Linked DNA regions of Alligator mississippiensis. The protein of the gene in region 2 binds, or shares a complex with, the protein of the main gene of each other region. Links are inferred from orthologs where the notes say so. Each region holds a gene or a part of one and is shown on either strand. Other genes may lie near its edges.

The links.
Region 1: the proteins of MUSK (region 2) and DOK7 are in contact, whole or in part, in a crystal structure (PDB 3ML4), measured with the Mus musculus proteins. The link is inferred for Alligator mississippiensis from reciprocal best matches to the Homo sapiens genes MUSK and DOK7. Residues at the interface, in NP_035074.2 of Mus musculus: Leu547, His548, Pro549, Asn550, Pro551, Met552, Tyr553, Gln554, Arg555; in NP_001335203.1 of Mus musculus: Leu154, Ser155, Asp156, Leu157, Arg158, Arg159, Tyr160, Gly161, Gly172, Thr173, Arg174, Ser193, Asp197, Val200, Arg201.

The regions. Positions count from the first base shown.
Region 1 is NC_081825.1:21,751,051-21,763,373, reverse strand, and holds the start of DOK7 (protein Dok-7), read right to left. Parts: upstream 5,331-12,323; 5' UTR 5,131-5,330; coding exon 5,077-5,130; intron 4,985-5,076; coding exon 4,939-4,984; intron 2,192-4,938; coding exon 1,961-2,191; intron 1-1,960. UniProt on the Homo sapiens protein: Probable muscle-intrinsic activator of MUSK that plays an essential role in neuromuscular synaptogenesis. Acts in aneural activation of MUSK and subsequent acetylcholine receptor (AchR) clustering in myotubes. Induces autophosphorylation of MUSK.
Region 2 is NC_081826.1:166,224,978-166,237,465, reverse strand, and holds the start of MUSK (muscle, skeletal receptor tyrosine-protein kinase), read right to left. Parts: upstream 4,832-12,488; 5' UTR 4,558-4,831; coding exon 4,479-4,557; intron 202-4,478; coding exon 75-201; intron 1-74.

The DNA.
Region 1 (12,323 bases), on a different chromosome or scaffold from region 2:
TCCACCCCTCCTCCTGTGTCCAGGCGTTTCGTAACCTGGTCATAAAAAGAGACTAGATTGGTCAGGCACGATCTGCCTGCTACAAACCCGTGCTGGTTTCCCCTCAGCAGAATTTGTCCTGCCGGGCTCTCGCAAATGTGAGCCTTGATAATTTTTTTTGCTCTGTTACTTAGTGCACTCCCTTTAGGATTCCCAATTTCTCTTAATTCTACAAATTTATTTTCTAACCTCAGCTCATCCTATGAGCTCCAGTCCATCGAGGTCCTGTTATCACTGTCCTGTTGCTCACATTCTCATCTCTCAGCCCCCTCAAATTTATAACTGATTTCCTTAATTCCACTGTCTCTGCTCTGCTTGACTCTTGCCCAGCTCTATTATCTAGCCCATGAACCATGTTGTACCGGCTCCTACTAAAGAAAACCAGCTCTCTCTATTTTAAATTTACTGCCCACCTCCATCCTTGCACAATAGTGCCACTTCTCATCCCTAAATCACATCCAATATCTACCTCCCAATACACTGTAACTGCCTCAAGCCCTTGACCTTCGTTCTTCTTCCCTCTCAGCCCGGAATCTCCCTAACTTCAAGAAGACTGCCAAGATTTAGTGCGAATTGCCTCTATCCCTTCTCATTTTCCCCACCTTCCAGTATCTTTTTCTCTTTTATATCAGTTAAAACAGTGGTTGTTAAGCTTTTTAGAGTCAAGATACCCCATTGAAAATGCCAGCTCTTATTTTTCACTCGGTTTGTAACAACAGAAAAATAATACAGCAATTCTTCTGTTGCAGAGAACTCAGAAGGACCACAACAGGGCAGAATGTTTTGAACCTACTGATTCCTATTTGAAATCCCTGGGTACAACTTGTGAATCATGTTTGCTCACCTAACAATGCTAATATTGCATAGCATCCCACAGCACCCCTAAAAGGATCTCAAGGCACCCCAAGATACTACAGCACCCTGACTGAAAATCACTGCAGTAGAGTCATATCAAGAAACCTACCAAACTCTGCTGACTGCACTTTCCTAAAGGTCTCTTATTGTGCTTAAATCTTATTTTCACCTATCCTCAAAGTTTCTCAGGAAAGGGCTGCATTTCTATTTATACTGTGTTTAGCAAAAGCCCATTACCATTAACAGATACATTATATATAAATAGATTACTATCATCATGATCATCAGCAATAATAAATGTCTGTCATCCTAAACTTTGCAATATACTAAAATCCAAATACTCTGGATTATCTCTATGAGAACACTATTACTACTTTTTGGTCACAACAACACAAGTTAGAATCACAGAACAGAAAATTAAGGACACCTAGAAGTTAAGAGGAAAAGGTATTTCCAAGAATGGTATCTTTTCTGTGGGATTTTGCTATTATATGGATACAAGAGCAGATGTTACCAGAGCAGCACACTCTACAGACTGGACAGGGAACTGGGAGCTAAAACCTTAGAAACCAGGGATAAAAGGGACCTCAAGAATTCAACTAGTCTGTCTCCTTGTCACAAGGAAAGATCAAGTGTAACTAATTTAGCCACTCTCAAATTCTAATCATGGCTCTGCCTTTTAGAGTTCTTGACCTCTCTGAGCCCATGGACTCATAATAAATCCAAAAACTAATGACACAAGTAATTTATAACTCTCACAGCTACTTGAAAGGGTAGGAATAAAACTCTGGCCTTTTAACCGATGCTTTCACTATCTGACCCAAATGTAACAGTAAAACCCAACTGCCAGTACTAATATGTACCTACTAGTGAGACACTCCTAGTATACAGTATCACCCATATGACCTACTGCCCGTGGCACCTAATCTGGGTCTTGTGGAAAAGGTCTTTTTACTCTGGGACCAGCAATAATCTTCTCCTGAACTGTACCCAGATTTTTGTATGTCAGCTCTGATTTAGTTTGGTTTTTCCAAGAGGGGAAAAAAAAGTAGAAGACAAAGTTTACCTTCTCCCAAACTGTAGCGGATCCGGACATCCCACGCATACATAGTTTCCTTGTTTTCAAATCCCAGCATCACAACTTGAGACAGACAGATGATGGCAAGTGTGTGATTCAAGCCCTCATAGGAGAGCCCAGGATCCAGGCCACAGATGTCCTCCAAGGTCACACTACTCCTCTCCTTATGCCCTTTCACTCTCTCAGATTTATCCTTGTACACCAACATGAGTAAGCAATCTGAAAGAAGCAACATTGTCAGAAAACATGAAGCAGAACAGCTATAATTCTCAGGACTCAGCTTCAACAGTTAATGCTTTTGGCAACAGCATGGTTGCAGTCTGAGCTCACCTTTTTAAGGTACATTTCTAACACCTGTTTAAATAAAGAAAGCTTGACGATATATCTCAAGTCTAACTTACAGGCTCAGAAATAAGAAGGCAATTAAAAAGATCTCCAAACTGGTCATTTGCTTTCAAAATCTAATCATTTGTGAGACAACCTGATAATTTGGGGGGCTTGACTTGTGATTTTTGAATGTTTCCAGTTGGCATTACTGTAATGTAAGCTTTTACTTCAGGAAGGCTAGAGTTAGCAGTATTGTCAAATCCTCTTCCTGTAGAAGGCAGCGAACCTGAATGAACTTCTTATAGTAGTTCCCAGATTACTCAACTATTAAATGGTGAATGGACTATATTGCCAGAAAGGCTGTTGGTCTCAGCTCAGGTCACCTCGTAAAATATTCCGCAGGGTATATTACTGCGTAATCATTATGTGCTGTGCACCTTTATTTGCTCTCTATTCAGTCGCAGTCGCCATTTTTTTAACCCATTCCTAAAGTTTATTTATTGCTTCATAACTAGGCAAAGCGATGAAACTATCACAGCATGAGGGGTGCGCTGGAGGCAAGCTTTTCACAGCTATCCAGATCAATAAGGAAAAGCACCACGGGTTGTATCCTTCTTTGATACAGCAAGGACACCAGTTCCACACAGGCTGCAGCTCCCCTTCTCACCCTGTTGTGCTCCGTACAGAGGGAAATAAATGCAAAAAGCTCAAGCCAAGACTTTTCCCCTGTAACTTCCATTGCTCACACCTAGTCCCAAGCTACAGACAAGGCAGCTGCCCGTGTTCCATTTGATGAATGTTAGGTGGGGCACTCCGAGGCCTGGCAAGCTGCCAATATGGCTCACATTTGGGCAAAGCATGGGCACCCCTCCAAAGAGGTGAAAAACAACTGAAAAATGCACTGTACGTTAATTAAAGGGAAACTTTGCAGACATGCTGGATTGTAATATTGCACCTGTTACCAGAAACAGCTGCAAATACAAAGTTTAAGGGTGCTTTTTTAGACACACATTGCATAGCCCCAAGACACTTAAAGGAACAGCACGCTGATTTTAGACAAAAACGCTCAATTTTGCTATAATAAATTCCATTTGAAAGTAGAATAAGTTTCACAGAGTAACAATATGCAGGGTTTGGAAGAATCAAGGTTTCAAATTTGGGTTCAAGAAGTTGGGATGCAGATGAGTAAATATCAATGTTAGGAACTCCCGTCTTTACAAACCATAGACTCGATCAGCAGAGGTATTGAGGATACTGAATATTTAACACTTCCAATTATGCAAAATTAATCCTACACCAAAGTAACAGAGAAATATAAATCTACATCTGAACATAGAAGTAATTAATCACGATTCTAACATCCGTTTTTAGGTAAAGCAGACTCACAAAACATATACATAGGAGATAAAACCAGGAATAGAGCTAGAAGTAATTTTCTGTGCAACATTTCCCCACAGGAAAACTTTGGATGTGCTGTCAAAACTTCAATCCTCCATAGGAAAATATCATTTCTGAGGAAAAATTTCAAATTTCTATCCAGGAAACATGGAAAGGAAATTGTTTGTTTCAGTTTAACTTACAGTATTTTAGTTGGGTCTTTTTAAAAAACTGAACTGACTTGATATTTAATGTCAATATGTTGATTAAATACTACCCCAGGTCCAACTACTACTAGTACTATGAGTGGATTCAATAAAAAAAATCACGCAACTTAAAAAAAGGGCAAGCTTTACAAACAAACAAAAATAGACTAAAATGCCATTTTGGCATAAACTAAAAAATAACAGTTGCTTTGAAATGCAAGTTTTAAGCAAGAAAACACTGGTATTTGGAAGTCGGTTCACAACGAGTGATATAAAAGAAATATTTTTGTAATTGCAATGTGGATTTTTTTTAATGTCATATGTAATGTCCACCCCCCCAACCCCATTGAGCTGCACCCGACCTCAGCCTCCACATCTATTGCAAGCAGGGGGGGAGCCCTGTGGCTGAGGGGCAGCCTTAGAGCAGCCGGGCGCCTGTGACCAGCTTTGGACTTAACGAATGCAGACTTTTTGCCAACTTTGCTGACAGCTTCCCATGGGCACTGCCAGGGGGTCAAGGCCAGGGCTGAGGCCACACCGATGGCCGTATTCGGGGTCAGGACAGGATTTCCCTCCCTGGTGAGAAGTGTGGGGGCTGGGGGGGGGTTCTATACTGGGCCTGACCCTCTCTCCGGGAGCCTGCAGTGACAACAGGGGCGACACCGCCAGGGGGTCGGGGCCAGGGCTGAGGCTGCACCGACGGCCGTGTTAGGGGTCAGGACACATCCCGCACGGTGAGAAGTGTCAGGGCTGGGGGGTTTCTGTTGCGGGGCCTGACCCCGTTTCCCCGTAGTGACAACAGGGGGACGGGCGACGCTGCCAGGAGTGGGGGCCAGGGCCGAGGCCGCGCCGATGGCCATGTGAGGGGTGAGCACCGATGCCCCCTGGTTTCTGCCTCGGGGGCCCGTACTGACACCGGGTCCCAGAGGCAGGAGGTGGCTCCCCGGGTCCCCCGCGGGCTGGCAGGCCGGGGGGCGCTTCCAGCCCGACTCCGCCACGGCGGTCGGGTCAGGGCCGGCCCCACGCCCCCACGCGGGCCCCGCGCGCCGCCCTTACCTGCCACGGGCGAGGGCTTGCGCAGCACCAGCCACCTGCTCTTCCACTGCAACGAGAGCACAGAGTTAGCCCGGGACGGGACTGGGGGGACGGGGCGGGGCGGGGGGGGGGATCCCTGGGGAGAGGCAAAGCGGGGACCTTTTTTCCATCCCTCCAGCGGACGTGCCCCTCCACCACCACGGCATCCGTCATCTTCAGGCATGGTTCCCCTCCCCGCCCGCCGGGGTCACTGCCAGCGCGCCCGGCCCGGGGCTGCCGCCGCCCCGCGCAATGGCTGCGGCCCGGCCCGGCCCGGCCCCCGGCGCTGGGGGGGGGAGGCTCCGCTGCCGCCTCCCGGGCGCCGCTGGGGGCTCGCGCTGCCCCGGGCCGCGGGGGGGTGGGGTGGGGTGGGGCGGGACCCCCGGGGAAGCGGCGGTTTGTGGGGAGGGGTTGTTAACTTCTTGATGACGTCGGCATCGGTCGGAGTCACGTGCGAGGTGTGCCGCCGGGCCCGGCGCGCGGCGGGAGCCGGTGTCAGCGGCCACTTGTGCGGCGGCCGCGGGGGGCGAGGGCGCTCCGCAGACCGCGCTCTTGCCGCGGCCGTGCCGCCTTGCGGGCAGGCTCCCGAAAGCGGGAAGAAACGGGTGAGCAGCCCCCGGTTTACTTCACGCCTGGGACGCAGGGCTGGCTGCAAGGGGCCGGGCGCTTGGTCAGGCAGGATCCTCTGTCCAGTCTGCCCTTGAAAATGCCCACGACTTGCCCACAGGCCTCTGGGGAGCGGGGTTCAGGATACACCAGGTAGCCAGCCTGCGTGCTAGGTGTTGGGTCCCAACCCTTTTTTGCACTTTGTTCACATCGATGGCCAGTGCCAGCCCAATAGATAAGTAGAAAACAGCCTCCCGCCCGGCCAGTGCCAGTCGCTCCAGACCCGCTGCCCCCATGGATGACCACAACAACTGGACCAGTGCTGCTGGTGCGTCTCACTCCCGCCCTGCTGCCCCACCGCCCGACACGGCCTCCCAGTGTGTGGGGCAAGGGGGACCTGTGGGGCCTGGCAGCCACGTGCCACTCCCAGGTTTGTGCTCCCACAGCAGGCACGGGCTGCAGCCTGGCCCAATGCGGGAGAGCAGAGCAGGGCGGCAAGATTTGTTGCTGCCACCACTGCTGCTGGGACTCCCACGCCAGCCGTGCTGCCAGCAGCACGAGGAGTAATGTGGTGGGCGCTGCCCCCATCTTCTCCTGCCACCAGCCATTTGTGCACTGGGCTTTGGCTCTACCCCACTGCCATGAGCCAGCCACCACTGCTGCTTTCTTCTGCAGCAAATGGAAAACCCAGATTCCTGTTTATTAATATGCACAGAATTAACAAATGGTGAAGCACCAGTAGCATGTAAAATATGCTCCATTTTTCAAATTTATTCATAATCTTTTCATAATATTCTTGCAACCCGCTTTGAGAAACGCTGTGTTAAAGCACAAAGGCAGAAATGGTTGGTAGGTTTGACAGGATCCCAGGGCACCCCCCGGTTCCACCGCACTGACTGCGAATCACTGCCTTAGAGCAGCCACAGGTCCAAAGTCCGACAGAGCCAGATTTGAGTAATGGCGTGTGCCAGAGCCTCAAACCCAAACACCCAGAAAGGATCCACTACAACAGAGAAGTCCAGGTGTAACTAAGCACTTGGTAACTGCATTGGTTTCATTGAAGCCCTTGTGTATATAAAACAGTACATTTGATTTTCTGGTTTGTTTGCTGGATGGAAAACTTGGAACTGAACACTGTAATTTGCACAAATTTTCTGTTCTTTTTATGCTGAAGACCAGACTAAAAGACAATAGAGAGGCAGTTAGGGTTAGTCTGAAGTCAGATAAGAGCAGAGCCGGCCTTAAGGGCACCCTGGTTGGGGGGGTGCCACACACACACACAAACACACACGTGGGCAGCCCACACTCACAGAAGCACTATCTCCCCATCCCTCCCAAGCAGATCCCCACCCCAGGCAAGAGGAATGGTGCCCAGCCCACCTCTCACCTCCAGCGGCTGCTTAGGAGGAGCTGGAACGGGCAGCATGGGTGGCAGCAGTGGTGCCTGCCTGCCTGGCACACCATGCTGCTCCACCTCCTCGCTGGACTGCATCCAGCGCTTCTGCCTGCCTGCCTCTGCCCATGGGGGGAGAGGTGGCAGCAGGGACGGGACGCCAAAATACAAGCTCGCCCAGAGTGCCATTTTCCCTAAAGCCTGCTCTGGGCAAGAGGCAGGGTAGATATGCACACTGCAGATTAACTAAATCAGAGATGTATAAGTTTTTGTAAGCGGCTGATCACCGCATCTGATTAAGTAAGCTGTTGCTTATGAAACCTTCTGATTTAGTTAATCTATAAGCTACAAGTCTACCCTGCTTTCCAGAAGACAATAATTAGGATGATCCCATAATTCTAATATTATAAAAGCCTTAGTCTGTCTGTCTGTCTGTCCATAACGCTTTATGCGTGCTCTGATTGGCTGATGGAAACATCCCAGCAAAGTGTGAATGCAGCATTCAAACAGGAGGTGGTGGCGTGGAGGAGTGCCACCATGATGGTGGGGACACGGGATGGAGCAGGGGAGGGCAAGGCCAGCCCTGCTCCCTGGAGGTGACAGCAATGGAGCAGACAGCAGAGCACCCTCCTTGCTCCTTTGAGGTGGCACCACTGGCCTCGCCCCCTCTCTGTCCTGCACTGCTCCCTCCCAACATGGCGGGGGAGCAGCAGACCCGGGCCAATGCGGCGGGGGTGAGGGAGCCTGGCCTGGCCCTGAAACAGAGGTGGGAAGGATGAGGGGGCACGGGCCTGGCCTCAAAATGGAGGATGGGGGGGTGGAGCTGGGCCATGCAATGGCAGCAGGGAGGGTGAGAGGACCAGACCCAGCCCCTGGCAGAGTGGGGCAAAGGGGGAGTGGCCCCCTCCCCCCTGCTCCATGGAGGAGGTGGTGGCACGAGGGGGGAATGGGGGTGGGGCCGCCACGGCGATGGGGGACAGGGGAAGCGGCCCTAAACCCAAACTGCTGGGGGGGAATGGGATCAGGCCCGAAGCGATGGGGGGGATGCTGGAAAACAAATTGGGGGGGTGGGGACAAGGGGAGTGGGAGTACAGGACCGGATGCTGGGCTCTGTCCCCAGCAGCCCCCTGGGTGGGGGTGGAGGGAGTGGCCCCGGCCCCAAAGCGGCAGGGTCGAGGGTGGGGGGAGTGAGCCTGGCCCAGGGCCTCTATCCCCACCCACCCCCCAGTCGGCAACAGAGTGAATGGGCTGGTGGCACTGGCCCCGCCCCCCTGCAGCAAGGCCAGCACTGCTGGCCCCGGCCCCCCAACCCTGCAGGTGACAGTGACAGAGCAGATAGAGGGGTGGCAGGGCCAGCAGCGCTGGCCTTCTCCCTCCTGCTCCCTGCAGGCCACGAAAACGGAGAGGACAGGGGGCAGGGCAAGGCCAGAGTCACTGGCCAGGCCCCCCAGTATTGCAGGTAGCAGCAACAGAGCAGACGAGGGAGGCAGCCTGGCCCCGGCCCTGAAGTGGCCAGTGGGGGGAGGGGAACGGCCTGGTCCTGAAGGCTGGGGGGAGGAGCAGTGCCAGATGCAGGCCGCTGTCCCTGGCCGCTTCCCCCCCCCCCCCCCCAATCATTTTTGATCAGCAGTTGGCTAGTGTATAACTAAAGACATACATTATATCATGAGTTGGCAAGGTTTTTATACTGATAACCAGCTTGCACTGTCACCTCCACACTTCCAAACTTTGTCAAATTAATTTCATTGGGGAACTAAAGCTTCTTATGCTCCTGCTGAATTTGGAGGTGATTTTTTGGTGGAAAGTCTAAGCAGACGTATTAATGTAGGAGGTGATGTGCGTGGCAGCCTGCAAATACTATCTTAATTATTTACAGAGGAGGAGATTTTTGAAAGGTACAAAATAGCAGTTTAAACACCTAACTAACTTGGGAGTCAGTTTAAGTAGTTAAGTGTCATTTGTGCTTCTGAATAAGGCCCCCATCAATCCCCTACCCCCCCCCCCCCCGGCCCCAAAAAAACATGCTAGGTACTTTAAATTCTTAGGAGGAGACATGAGGGAAGCAAATCTCAAAGAGCTTAATATGCTCAAATTGGACAAAATAATCTCCATCCCAAGGTACTGTGAAAGAATTGTCACATGAAATTGCTAGTCTGGTAACAAACATTTTCAATACGCTGACAAATCAGGGGTGGCACTGAACCACAAGAGAACAGTAAATTTAGTAGCTATACTTAAGAAAGGGGGGAAAAGTGATTTGGGCAACCCCACCCCTGTTACTCTGACCTCTCAAGCAAGCTTTACAACAAAGTTCAAAGGAAGGGAAATTAATATAGAGGTAAATGGAAAATGTGATGAACGTGAGGTTACCAAAAGTAAACGGTACCAGATTAACCCAAGATCTTTCATTATTATGGAAAATTATTAGTTAAAATGAGGAAGATGGAAAATCAGTACCAGAACTGTAACCTGGGTGAGGAACTGGCAAAGAGGAAACTAATGGCAGGTTGAGCCAAAAAGAAAACTTGCCAGGCTGGAGGGAAACTTCTAGAGATGCTCCTTAAGAATTGTTCTTGAAAATTATCTTACTTAATAGTTTTATTAATAACCTTGGCACTAAATGCTGCTGTGATGATGAAAACGGGAGGGAGGGGCATTTTCAATACAAAGGAAATTGAGAATATGTTATAAAAATGGATGACCCTAATAACTGCAGAAACAGAAAATGAGTGGCATGTAATCATTCAACAAGGTACTACTAACAAGAATTTCTAGCATAATCTAAAGCAAGGAAGGGCAAAATAGGGCCTGTGTGCCAAATCTGGACTGTGGAGGGATTTTGTCTGGCCTGCAGCTTGTCCTTCGGCAGGTCCCTCCCAGCTCAGGATGCCCCACAGCGCTAGACATGCCTGTCAAGAGAATGAAGGTAGCTGCTGGCTTCGGAGTCACAGCTCCAGCACCAAGACAGCCACTACTGCCCCGGCGATCAAAGGGAGTATCAGTGCCTGACAGACAGCAGGACAAGACCTTGCGCCAGGCACCACGGGACAGGAGCCCAGCAGTGACTGGCTGCATTCATGGAGCTGCTATTCCCAATCATCCATACTGTGTGGCATCTACAGCACACCCCCTTTGGCTACCACCCGGCACTTGCCACCTGACGTGCCCCACGCAGCCCTGCCCAGCTCCTCCACCTCCCAAGCCTCAACATGGTGCCAAGCTCTGCTTCCACCCAGCCAGCCCTTTGTTGCCATCCCCTGCTCATTCTAGCCACACCCAGGGTTGCAAATGGCTGCAAAAGCCCACATAGGTCTCCCTCCCAGAGCCATTCAGACTAGGCTAATGCTAGCCTAGCATCAGCTGAGATAATGCTCAGCACCAGGAGTCAGGGAATCCACAGAAAGAGCCTGATCCCCTGCCAGGACTGCAAAGTTGGCAGGAGCCCTTTGCATTCTGCTGGCTCTGGGGCCCTTCAGCTCCCAACACCTAGTCCCATCAACCACGAAATTGCCGCTTACTGTTTGGGTTCTGCGGGCTGCCGCCTCTTAGCCAGGAATCCCAGCCCTGCCTGCCGGTCTGTGGCCCTGTCATGACCAAGCATGAAACAGAGCCAAAATCTGCTCCCTGCACGCCCCTCCAATGGGCACTGGTTTCATAGGCAGGAATGTGCGGCGAGCACAGCTCTGCCCTGGGCCGTGGCCCGTGAAATTGGTGCCTGTCACAAGGACATGTTAGGAACAGATTGTGACTGCTCTGCGTTCAGCCATGATGGGGCTGCAGATGGGCAGGGAGTGGTATCCAAGAGCGAGATGGGCATACAGGGCCGAGGCTGGAATCCCTGGCTAAGTGGCAGCAGCCCACAGAACCCAAACAGTAAGTGGCAGCCAGGACCCACGTGGGCAGGGCATGGGCAGATGGATGGAATCAGCTGTTTAGGGCATTTTGGTGAGCCGTTATGGGGTGCAGGTGCTTTCCCAGCCCATGACAGCTCGTCAAAACTCCTTATGTGGCCTGTGGGCCCAAGTAATTGTCCACTTTTGATCTAACAGCTGATCAGTTGGAAATGACAGAGAAAGTAAAAGATCTGATTGTATTAACTGATCACAAGATCAATTAATTTTGAGCCACCAATGTAATGCAGCCTTGCAAAAGCAAAAGTGATCCTAGGATTTATCATGCAACTTATTTCCATTAGAGAGATAAGTATTACCTTCTTTATATAAGGCCTTGGAATACAATGGAGTCATAACTGCATAAACACACCTTCCCCAAATAGACAAGAACTCAACATTCCTGCATGGAAACTTTAAAAATGGCATTAAACAAATTACTGATGACTCAAGACAAAAAAACCAAAGATACAATCCTCTCTTCCTTACAAAGGATCTACCATAACATAATGAAGAGGAAAAGCCCACTTAATTTTAACCGCTGGCAGCTACAATTAATAAACTAAGTTATGCTACTGATTTTCTTAGATTTAGTTCAATAATCAGTGTATTAATTAGGGTCTATTATACACTACATGGTTAGCAGACAGAATTTAAGTTCTGCTGACAAAACTAGACGTGTCCATACTCATAGTTCGTTCCCCTGTGGCCACAGAAACCCTTCCTTCTGATGGCGGAGCAACACCAGCCTCACAAACATCAGGTTTCTGCTGCCACTCAGCCCACTGAGAGAAGGCACTGGCTGGGCCCAGGGGGTGCAGCAGTGCAGTTGCATTCCTCCTTCTATTGTGCCACACATGAGCTCTTGGCATGGCATCTGACTGGAGTGCCTGCTTTCATGGGCAAATATTGAACAATTTACAACACTCATCTTGCTTAAATATTTGCATTTTTATACCGGTACAAAATTATATTTCTTGGATGGGAGGATTTCCATACAAAGTATCCTTCTGATTTAAAAAAAAAAAAAAAAAATTCCTGGATCTAAGAAACCCATTCTAGTACTGTCAGAACCATCAAACTGAATATGAAATAGATTATTTTTATGGTCAATAACATGCATATATCCAATCACCATGTTAAAGTTCCAGATTATGAAAAACATCCTTGCTAGAAACAAGACGGAAAAAAAAACCTCAGAAAATATTTACTGCCACAGCCAAAAGCTTTCTAACAACTGTTTGATTTAGCATTCAGGATTTCAGAGTTGATATAACTAACATGACAAAAAGTTCCATTTATAAAAAACCATAATTTGCCATTCAGATGACTGTTCAGAGAATTACAGTTCTCTAATGTCAAATCAAATTCTGCCTTTTGTTAGGATAGCAGAGTAAACAGTCATTGCTCTGGCTGTATATTATAATAATTTAATTGATGGCTCCAGTGATCATTCATATGGTATGACAGTGAAGCGT
Region 2 (12,488 bases):
AACCAGGCCCAGCACATAGGTTATGGACAAAGGTGTGCTTATATTATAAACCTTCCTCAGGTTTGCAGTCTTACCTGATGGGAATGTTATTACGTGTCCAGGTAATCTCTGGCTCAGGATAGGATTCTACCACACACATGAATTTGGCAACTTCTTCTACTAATGCATCTACTGTTTCCGGAGGAGTGGTAATAAGGGGAGCTGGAATTTAAAGAAAAAGAAAACATGCTCTTTCAGTGCTGGGTCTCTTGTGAGAAAAAACTGCTAATGGTATCAAATTACCAAGGACATTTACAAGCATAAAGAAAAGCCACATTCCCTGCAGGGTCACCACCGGATAACTCCCTTGAAAATTCAGGAATGTACATTGTACCCCCTCCATTAGCTCAATTTAACTGAGGTCCCCATGAGCATTTGTTTTTTGCAGTGTCCCAATTCTTATATCATGTTTTTCCTTATACTTTCCATATATAGCATGGAATTACTTCAATCCTTAAGTGATATGTAGAGTCACAATTTGGACCTTACCTCCCTTTCCATGACAATTCAGCTACATTGAGAGGATACAGCCAAGGCGCTATCCGCGTGCACATAATGTGCTCTCTTTCATGGACTGGTAATGTGAGTAGTCTGTACATGGAAGCAAGGAAACTCCTTTTTCTCTCTGTCTTTGTAAATTACCTCACTACTGATGAATATCATGTGAGATCCAGTTATCCCTGTTGTTAGTTTGACCTGATGAACTGCAAAGGTATTTTGATATTTTTTAAATAAAAATGTAATGCTATTATTTATATGAGGATCATTTCTAGATGTTCCTCATGTGTGGCAATAGCACAGAAACACAACCATTTGTTTCTTCTTTCTTTCATCAAGTAGCACTTGGTGTCATGCAAATAATAAATATCTTTTTTTTTTTTGTCACAGACCCACCACATACGAAATTCTGCTTTATCTTTGGAAAGGTATTTTCCACCCCTCTTGGTACAGGCTGATAAAAGATCAAAAGGCACTACTCATGTATGTCTGTTAGAGACATATATCCAGTGCTCATTGAACTGGATTTATTTGACAGCTGTGTATGTAGAAACTACGCTTATGCCTTCTCTGTGAAATGTGACAGTGCAGAAGGGACAAGAGAAATGGCACCAATCTTTACACAATTGACAAAAATTACCCTGCCCATCTGTACATTACCAAACAGACATGATCTGTTAACTGCAGAGATTCTTGGTATACTTTATGTCTCTTCACAGAAAAAACTTCATGCATTATATCTTCTGTCCTTTACCTAAGCAATCAACTTTAATTTTTCAGAGCTTTAAATATACCATTACAACTTTAAATACACCATTTTCATCTCACTAAATATCATAAGATAATGCAAAGCACTCTGGTACAGATTAATCAGATTATTTATATGGTATGACATGAACTTTGGGCTTAATTCTTCTATCACCTGTGTGGGTATAAAATTATGACTCCACTGGAGTTATGGAGTTGAACTGGAATAATATCTGTGGAACTGAGAAACAAATATGTTCCTTCATACTAATGACACCTTTCAAGTTCACATATTATTGTACACCATTGAAAATATTGAGATTTTGTACATTTGAAAATTCCACTATGGTAAATCTATGCCAATAAACTTTCTCTCCAATTTGACAGCGAGCTGCTAATAGACATCAGTACCTGTATTATTAATGTGAAAAGAGGGTCATATTTATAGAGCTGAAAGATCCCTAAGATCCTAAGGGTTATGTGCTAAAGTTAGCTAAAATATTGGGTCTGTATCTGGTTATTGCCTGGTAGCACTGCTTTAAAAGATCTAGGGCCTTAATTAATTACACGGTCAGAAATGTCTCCTTCAATGTTAGTAAATATTGCAACCAGGGTGAAGTGCATGCCCCACTTAAGTCCATGAGTGTTTTGCTTCTGGCTTCAGAGAAGTCAAGATTTCACCCCAGGGTCCTATGAAAACGTGTTATGAGAATGTGTATTATGTAGTGAAATGTTGCTCTGTCCATTTTAGAAATGACTGTTATTTTCTGAATCAAATGTTATGGCTAGGGTTTAGGGTTGTTGGTTGTAGACGTGTTGGTCTAAGGACATAAGCAGACAAGGTTCTTTGGGTAAATGTGATATCTTTTATAATACCAACTAAATAGTTGGAAAAATTGTTGTTTGCAAGCTTTCAGGTACAAACACCCTTCCTTAGGCACTGGGACAGTTTGTTGTTGCTTTGTGTGCTCTCCTGGCGGGAATGGAAGTCAGTATGCAAAATGCAGGTCTGTGAAAATGCAAATGCGTAGTATTTTCCCCCTTCTCCCCCACAACTACCTGTCTCACACCTATTGTCTCACAGAGCCTCTGAACCTCACTGCTACACATTTGCATTTTCACAGACCTGCATTTTGCATACTGGCTTCCATTCCAGCCAGGAGAGAACAGGATTGAGCCCTATCAAAGCTATGTTATATAGGAAGTACCATCCAAATTACTAATACAATTGTAAAAAGCAAAAGAAAACTTGCTAAGCCTCACCATTTTTAAGGGCCCTTTGTTCCTTTCTAAACCTTTAAAACAATAATATTAATACCTGGGTATATCCCATACTTACTGTCCTACCATTTTTTTTCTTTTCCTTTATTAAAATGCAGTGTTGGAGAAAAAGAGAAGATAAAGAAAGTATTATTTTTCTAGGATGACAGGAGAGAAGGGCCTCTTTCCAGGAAGTCATTGATGTGCTTGTGAGATCGAGTCACATGGGGGGCAAGCCACCATTTTGTTGCTGCTCAGAAAGAGAACCCAAAAATGGCGGTGACGGTGCTTATTTTAATGACCAATGTCTCAAAGCTAAAATATTGAGGAAAATTGAGAGAAAAAAACCCTCAAAATGCAGCTCATGCCACATTTCTAATTAGGCTGAGAAAAAAAATCATGGTGCATTAACACTGGACTAAAAAAAGAGCCCAGGTCTTTTGTATGTAATGGCACACCGCATAGGAACATATCCATGACGTTTTTAAGTAATGCTGTGACTTTATACATAATCACAAGACTTAGTTCTCCATCCCTAAGGCCACCGAGGTGCCATTTTCCTGAATGTCCACTGTAAATTCAGGAGGCATAAAAGGTGCTAAGACCACTCCTAAAAACTCTACTGTTTATTACTTCCTATGAGAAGACCATGAGTCTTGTTCTAACATCAGTCCATCAGCTAGTGGAAGATTGTTGTTATTTTTTTATTAAATTTTCTTTTTTTAAAGTGAAGAAGTGAAATGGAAAAATAAAGCTTTACCTCAGTGTTATTGATTTTTTGCAAATGGTACTCTTTCTCTAGTTAGGTATTTCCTTGGGGCCTGATCTTGGCAATGACAGTCCAGTTTTTCTGCAGAATCTAAAACAGCTACTGCCTTGTGGTCTTTCTAGCATACTTCGCTGTATTCATAAGTTTAATATGACAATTCACCTGAACATATAGCATCACACTTCCTTAAAAAGAAAATCCACTGAAAATGTTTCATTAAAATATACTTCTTTTCATTGCATGTTGCTATCAGAGATATCATATCTATTCCTATTTGTTTTCTCATTTGTAAAGTCTTATTTTGGTCTTCCAAAGGCTTTGCAGGCTTTGCAGGCTTTGCAAGCGGACAGTCTCCACTATTTGAGTTGGTGTTGCTGCTTGAACAAAAACACCTTTTGTCTAAATTCAGTATTTTTGTGAAGTAAGGAACTTGCAGTTCTTTGTATCAATCTGGGTACCAGTTACAAAAAATCAGCTAGACAAGAGCAGAGCTACTGGTAAAGTAGATAATGATCAGCTTCATGGGCCAAAATCAGTTACTTGTTCTTCCTAAGACGCTGAAAGCTATTGCCGGTACATTTTCATCCTGTCCTAATAAGATGAAATAAAACCCTTCACCCAACAGGCAGTAAGTGCTTGATGTGGTAAATCTTTAATTCCCACTGGAGGAAACTTGCATTTTTTAACAGATTTTTATAACTTCAGCCTCATATTGTCTTGAACTTGTGTGACTTCCATATGGAAAGGTAAAGGTACCTTTCATATAAACTATATAAATAACACACATATTGTATATAGGTTTATTATCATGCAACATGCATATATGTATATGTCAATTTATTTTAATTATATAGGTATTATATATATGCACATCTAGTAAATATATATGCATTAATATGTGCACACAGTGGCACTGAGTATTTTTTTTGTTTTCTGTGAGAATAAAACAACTGCCAGCATTAGATATAAATGCAGGATTATTTCATTGATCTCCTCTAAAGAACATAAAGAAATTCTATGACAGGTGAAAATGAAAACAGCGTATTTATACAGTTTCCGGAAATAAAACAACAGTCCCTATACAACACTTAAAAGACTTCAGCACCTTTATAAAAATGCCGTAAGTGACAAAAGCAATGAAAAGATGAAGGCTGTTTAAACAAACCTTTTGGAAGTTTTTCGGCTAAGCTGAAGGCCGCCAGGGTGAAGATATGTAAAAGTGGAATGTTTATTAAGTCTTTCATAGTTAATCCAGGAAAATGCCGGTTCCTTTAGGCAAAATGCACCAGGTTCCCTGCCTGTTTCATTTTAAACCGTGGTTTGTTACGAAGTTCCTCAGCTACTGACCGTCCCTGCTGCAGACTCTATAGGATCTAAGTATAATCAGGAATTCTCAGACTTGGCTACTGTGATGGACATGACCAGCTGGTGTACATCCACTTAGGTCAGTATGAAAACGTGGGGCTCGTGAAACAAGAGAAAGCAAATCCCTTTAGAATTCCTTTTAGGCAAATAGCATGCAACAAAACACAATGACTGAATGCCTTTCCTAAACAATAACCCAACCCAGAACAGCTCAGATCGAAAGGGCTTTACTCCAGCTCAAGGTAAATACACTCCTAGCACAAATATCTGTCACTGACACTATGGATTTTCTTTCAGGTTTGTACTTCTCCCCGTTTTTTTCTCTTTCTCTCTCTCTCCTCCCCACCCTGCTCTCCCCAGCCCCTTTCATTATAACCTTAGTGATTAGCTGGAATATACCACCTGTTCCCCTGCTGATAGCCTATCTTTTCTTTCCAAATATATTTGCTAGAGTAGGAGATGTTGGTATCAGTGAGCTGACAGCCAGTCTTGTTTACCAAGGAGATTGTCAGTTCTCAAGATTTGTTGCAGCAAACTGAAAAAGAAGAGTCATGTCCCGGAAATAAACCCTTGAGCGCACACAAGCTCTGGGAAAGCGAGAGCAATTGCCACACAGGGGAGTTTCTCAAGTTGTGCTCTGGCGAACGAAGTGTGGTTTGTTTTTTATCTCAGGAACAGCATAGGAAATTCAGGCAACAGTGGAGATGTTCATGCAGTGAAATAGTTATGTTAAATTTGGGCATTGCTATCTCAGGAACTTCTCATTTTTTGATAAGTCTCTTTAAAGTGAGCTATATAACATTGCAGCACATGGCCAAGGGGGCTTCAGAGGAACATCTAGTTGGAAGAGACTCCTGGCTCAAGTCCAGTCCCTTCCTATTTCAGGAAAGTGCAACATCCCCTTCACAATTTTGAACCCAGAATAGACATTTTTTCCCCACAGTTTTCATTATTTACTAATTTATAGGGATCCCAAGATAACCCCTGAAAAAAATGAAGCATCCAAGATGGGTAGCCACTTCTCACTGAGATGCCTAGATAATTATGTGACTTTTAAATGCCAAATAACCGGAATCCTTCCCCCTTCCCTTGCTTTGCATCCCAGCTGTAGACCAGGGGTCAGTTGTAGTGAAACTACTTATATGGCTAATCAAAAAAAGGAGATAAAGCCTAGTGGCACCTTTAGCTCTGAAACACCTTAGAGAACTAAAGGATTTTAAAGGGGCTACATATAGGAGGGCATTGAATGGGAGAAAGGGAAAGATCTCTGAGGATTAAGTGCAGAGCACAGTTAGTGGGGGAAATGTGAGCAGGAAAAAACAGAATACACCATGGGAAAAACTGAGGAGGAAAAGAGAGACCTAAGTTTCTATAGAGATTACACTAAGAACAATAAATTTCAATGGTGGATCTCATCCTTTCTGTAGCGGGAATATATTTTTTGGCTAAAAAACACTATGTACAAGTCACCATTTTTTCTTTAGTTCTATAAGAACCTTACCATAAAAGTAGACAGAAAAGGATACAGAGTGGGGGTGAGACTTAAAATTTAGGTACAGGCATTCAAAAAGCCCAATGAGGAATTGATCTAAGTTATGTGGTTTTCTATAAGTGGCATCATTTAGATTGATAGCAAACAGAACACATATTCACTCTTTTATTGAGGGGACAAATCTTAGATTGGGTTCTGCCGTTTTTAAACCACCCTGTGTGTGCTGAACTTCTTTTCTGCTATGGGTATAGACTGGTTTTGTGTGCCAGACTTCTGTTATGGGTATAAACCAGTTTCCAATCACTTATACTGGAGGCAGAATGCAGATAGAGAGGAAGAAGGTAGTCTGGGATGGATAGTGGGAGAGAGAAAATGTATGATCTCTAGAGATCTCTTCTCCATGAGAAATCTATGTTGCATTTGACAATTGCAAGGTATTCAAATATGTTATTGCCACTGTAAATAGTTTGTCTGCCTGCTGGTCTTCAGGGTGTTCTATATATGTTCACATACACATAGATACACACACATGTATGTTTGCATGTGTATGCATACATACACATATATTAATAAGCATGGCTTTTGAGGGTACCTGCAGTTTCTTCATATTGTTCTCTTTGAGAAGGAACAAAAGACATAATCAGGGGGCTTAGGAACTTGAAAAGGAGAGGAGAGGCCTTAGCAGGAGAAAGAAGACACAGAAGAAGTAGACTGGAAAGGTAAAGATGTCCCTGGAAGATAACTCCTGGAACTTTCAGTCACCAAAGATTATGCTCAGAACAGTTCAGTTGCAGTAGTACCACAGTTGCAGTAATACCACATTAGAAAGTATTTCCCACCAGGCACTAGCAGAGGATAAATCCCACTTGAGCATTAGCTTAAGGATTTTATTGGCAGATAGATCTTGTCCCAGCTCAGGAGTGAATTTCACCATTAGTACCTGCCATAAGTGGACAATGAAGGGGCTAAGGTGGTATGCTAGCCAGGGTGATGTCATACTTTGTCCAGATTGATTTATTGTTGAGCTCTTTGGAATTTCCTAAATATTGCATGCTGTATTTTTCAGCTTCAGCTGTGTATTAAGAGTAATTTATTCAATTAACATATGAAATTTAGTCTCCTACCAGGCAAGCAGGTAAAGATGCAATGGGATCAGATGTGGGTCACACATGCATGGCAGGAGGCTTGATTGTAGGATCATGCATCTGCTCCCATCATGCCTTATTGCCCATGTAAGGCATGATTATCATAGTAGCTAGGGTCAGAAGGGACCTAAACAGATCATCTAGTCCGCCCCCCTGCCTTGGGTGGAAACAGATGCTAGGGTCATCTGACCCCAGTCAGGTGTCTATCCAACCTCCTCTTAAAGACCCCCAAGGTAGGAGCAAGCACCACTTCCCTTGGATGTTGGTTCCAGGTCCTAGCTGCCCTAATCATAAAGTAATGCGTCCTGATGTCTAGCCTGGACCTGCTCTTTATCAACTTATGGCCATTATTCCTAGTTACCCTATGTGGTGCCCAGGGCATGATCGTGGGCATGATGATCCTGGGCTCCCCCTGCATCAGCAAGTAGTAAGGGCCCACAGCTGGGAGCCCCCTCAGCTGATGAAGCTCCCAGCCACGGGGACACATCATGAGTTCCTGTGGCTGGGAGCCCAGATCAGCTGCAGATTCCCAGCTGTGAGGGCACATAGTGCACCCTTGCAGCTGAGAGCCACATCAGCTAATGGGGCTCCCAGTCACAAGGGTAGTCTCTAATCTCACCTTTTTTATTTTAACTGACCTTGGCCACATGTTTGGTTAATGGTGTGATAGGAACCAGCCACACAGTTATTACATGCCTATTCCTCTTTTTATTTCACCATTAATTAATTGAATGTGTAGTTGGGTCACAACTTAAGACATGATTAACTGGTTAATCACATCTTAAGTTTAACGTGTGACAGGGGCCTCAGTGGAATGTCCTCTGAAGGGCACAGTATATGTCTGTATTTCAGAGAGACAGAAAAAGATACATGGGGCTGTGTTTCAGTACAACAATATTATTAGTGCTTGCTGGGCACTGCCATCATAATTATGAGTAAAATTCCCCTGATAAATCACTTTACTAAATTGGAGGTAAGCCAGGGAATACATGACAATTAAATTAATGTTAAAAATGTTACAAGAAGGCTGAAATTACATAATACTGATTATTATAACAACAACAGCACAATGATGATGCTGATGCTAATAATAATAATAATACGTTGGACAACCAAGAAATGCAAATTAAGGTGAATCATAAAAGAATAAAAGAAACACACATTTTTGGCAATCTGGTTGCCCCCTCTAGGATACCACCTTAGCCCCTTCATCGTCCTTTTATGGCAGGCTAATGGTGAAATTCACTCCTGGACTAGCTAGCACAAGGCCTATAAGCCAATGAAATCCTTAAACTAAAGCTCAAGTAGGATTTATGCTGGCTGTCTGCATGGGCTGAATTTCACCTTCTGGGCATTTCTATATCACCTCCATGTCATGCCTGGGATTATCACCACGGAATATGCCGCACCCACTCACTCCCACTCCATATGCATCACCTACCCAAAGTGATGGGAATGTAGCCATCTTTGAGCAGTGCTGAGCACACACCAGTCATCATGCCAGGGACAGTGTGCCCCAGACCGTGGCTTCAGCCCCACCCCAAGCCCATTACGTTGCCTCAACCCTGGCACGGAGGGATCCAGAGTGAACAAGTAGGTCGTGCTTCGTAGCAAAGTTCCTGCATGAAGCACACAGGCAGTATATATATATATATATATATATATATATATATATATGGAAGGTGAAATCTGCCATGTGCAGAGATCCAGCACAAAGCCCACACATCACTGAATTCTCCCTGGAGCTTTAATTTCATTGGATTTCATAGATTCATAGATGTTAGGGTCGGAAGGGACCTCAATAGATCATCGAGTCCGACCCCCTGCATAAGCAGGAAAGAGTGCTGGGTCTAGATGACCCCAGCTAGATACTCATCTAACCTCCTCTTGAAGACCCCCAGGGTAGGGGAGAGCACCACCTCCCTTGGGAGCCCATTCCAGACCTTGGCCACTCGAACTGTGAAGAAGATCTTCCTAATGTCCAGTCTAAATCTGCTGTCTGCTAGCTTGTGGCCATAATTAAATTTCATTTAATTCCATTGGTGGATAGATCTTGTACTAGCCTAGGAGTGAATTCCAACCTTAGTACCTGCTTATTAAGATTGTTTTCCTGAAAGCCTCAAAGAAGGCCAAAGCCACAAGCTTCAGACATCTGTTATTTGCCTAAACCTGTGCATTTTTAGAGTATGTGCACTACTGCTAGTCTCTAATCTCACCTTTTTTATTTTAATTAAGGTTTTTAAGAAGCTGGGCTATTTTAAAATGAAAGGAAATAGAGTGAACCTCTTACATCTGAATAGAAAGTAGGGCACATGTAAACCAGAGCACTGCTTTTGCATCTCTTGCATATTCCCTCTAGATACAAGTGTCAAATGTTGCTCATTATTAATTTCTACTGCTATTTACAGTAGCTTCTCAAGGATGACCAGCTGGGATTAAGGTACCATACTAAATGCTGTACAAAAGCACAGTAACTCCATACTACAATTGGGAGTGCCACCATAAGTTTGTTATGTGTAACCCAGTCTTTTCTGCTCCAAATTTGCCCAAGTGCCAAATGGGAGGCAATGTCAGGGGCAGATCCAGGGGGGAAGCAGTGGTAAAGTCACACCCCCCTCCTTTGATTCCTGGGCCTCCCAAATTTTAAAACTGGTTGTCTGGCAGCAGCATTCCTATTCAGGCAGCAGTTAGGGAATCATTTGTCTTCATGGCTCATTATAATCACTCCTTCCTTCTGAACTCTTTATTCCACAGGTGTTAACAACCCTCTCTCCTTTTCAGTGCCCTTGATGTTCCACTTATCAAGCTATTCTTTCTTCTGCAGTTCTGCTAATTGGTAGCTGTTCCTGGTAATATACCTCCTGCAGACTGTTTTAAACTTTAGCTAAAAACATTAACTCAGGTGTGGAAATGTTAACTCAGGTGAGCATTAACTCAGGTGTGGAAATAACCTTCAGTTAAGTATTGGATGCACTGGCAAGATGCTCAAGAAGCCTAGGTTTTGTTCTATAAAGCTGAAAAGAGATGTACAGGGTCTTCATAAAGTCCTTGTGCACTTTTAAACTTTAATATCTTAGGTTGTAGGTATGATAGAAACACTCTGTAAACAGCATTTAAAAGCAAATGTATTATAGTTTTAGGACAACTGGAGTACACAATGCTAGACTTCATAAGTAATAATGAATTTATTCTTATTTCAGATCCTTTGACAAATGAAAAATGGCTACTGTAGACGAGAAGGTAAACTGTGTCCTATGGCTAGCAGAATTGAATTCCATATCAGCTGTGAAAAGAAAGTGGTGGTTATGTTGAAGTCTAGTATTGTGTACTCTAGTTGTCCTAAAACTTTAATAAATTTGATTTTAAATGCCATTTACAGATTGTTTCTATCATACCTACAACCTAAGTTATTAAAGTTTAAAAGTGCACAATGATTTTATGAAGACCCTGTATATTTCATTCTAATGACTACAAGAGTAATGACACAACATATTTTAATTACTTTTGCCTATTTTGTTGTGTTTTTTGCACACAATATATGACATAGCATATGCTTTATAGCCCATAAAGATACACTTGCTTTTACTTTGACCTTAAACTGGAGAATATAGAACAAGCCCCTTAGCATATTCGTAAAGCTTCTAGTTTCTTTTTAATTGGAGAACAATAAATGTTTTACTTTATGTGATGATGTACCAGACCATCTGCACCCACTTTTTTAAAATCCTAGATCTACCCATGGGCAATGTAGTCACTTTGCAAAAGCTCTGAGCACATTCCAAAAAGTACACCTGAGGCACATGCTTAGTGCCACTCCAGGGCAGTCCAAGTACCTTATTTCCAGGATGTGGCATGTACATAGGTGTGCATAGTGTGCTTTACAGCAGTGTTCCCAGGGCTGCACAGAAGTGGGGCAGACATGCCTTAGGGATGTGGTTCTCAACCTTTTCAGGGCCATGGCACTCTGGAATGTGGTGGCACCAACAGTGGTTCTCAGCTGGGAGTGCCACCACATTCAGTTTATCTCAGTGTTTCCCAGCCAGGTTCTGCTACCTCCAAAAGAAATTGCCCCACAGACCTACTGCACAGCCAGCCCAGGAAGGGCTGTATCATGTGGACATGGTGCCCTGGCAGTAGAGCTCTCCAATCAGCCTAAAGCAGGCAGGGGCCACCTCATATTGTGTAACCCTACCTAGTCAGGCACCACCTACGATCCTCCCAGAAACAGAACGGGATGGTTCCACCTGCCAGACCACTAATTGCTGCATAGTGGGAACATTTACACGTGCACGCCACTACACCGTTGGTATTGCGCAACCATTTAGTACTTGCTTCAGCAAGCACTAAATGTCTGCGCAGTACCCGCCAGGACTGCACAATCCCAGTGGCGCACAGGTTGTTTCTGACCCTACTGTGCAGTAGCAATGAGCTGCCAGGTGACCGTGTACACATCGCTACAGTAACGTAGCATCTCATGTAGACACTCCTAGCATGAAGCAGCTTTACTATCTGCTTTGGGCTGATTAGGGAGCCCTAATGTAGGGAAAGCACACAGGGCAGTTTTACCTGGCTGCTGCCACTGCTGCAGCATCCCTGAGGGGACATCACAGCACCCTGGTTGAGGACCCTTGCCTTAGGGGACAGTCCCTGCCCTGAAAAGGCTTACAATCTGAAACCCTGTGCCTGCAAGGGCTTACAAATATGGCTAACCTTATGCACTGTGAATAGTCCCATGAAAAATAGTGGGGCTGCTTACAGTGCATAAAGTTTAAACAGTTATATGTCCTGGCAGCATTGGTATCTATATAGAATACATAGAAAAAGGGTTGGAAAAGATATATCACAACCACTGGAACATGATGAATTATTTGTTGGCAATAATTATATACCCATTTTTGAGTAGAGAGGTTATGGAGGGTTAGTCTATATGGTTGTTTTTCTGCTCATTAGTTATTTGCAAACTGCTCTTTGTTGCTACAAATATATTTAGAATTTGGGGGTACTAACCGAACATTTTTGATGAACAATTTGCAGGTTTTGAGTTGCTCATGAACTGGTCATTGTGATGATTAAATACTCGATAGCCATTTTTTGTGGGGTGCAATTAGTCTCAAAAATCTTAAATAGCTGTTTAAAAAAATATAAATCTACTTTGATTATAGTACTAGGTGGG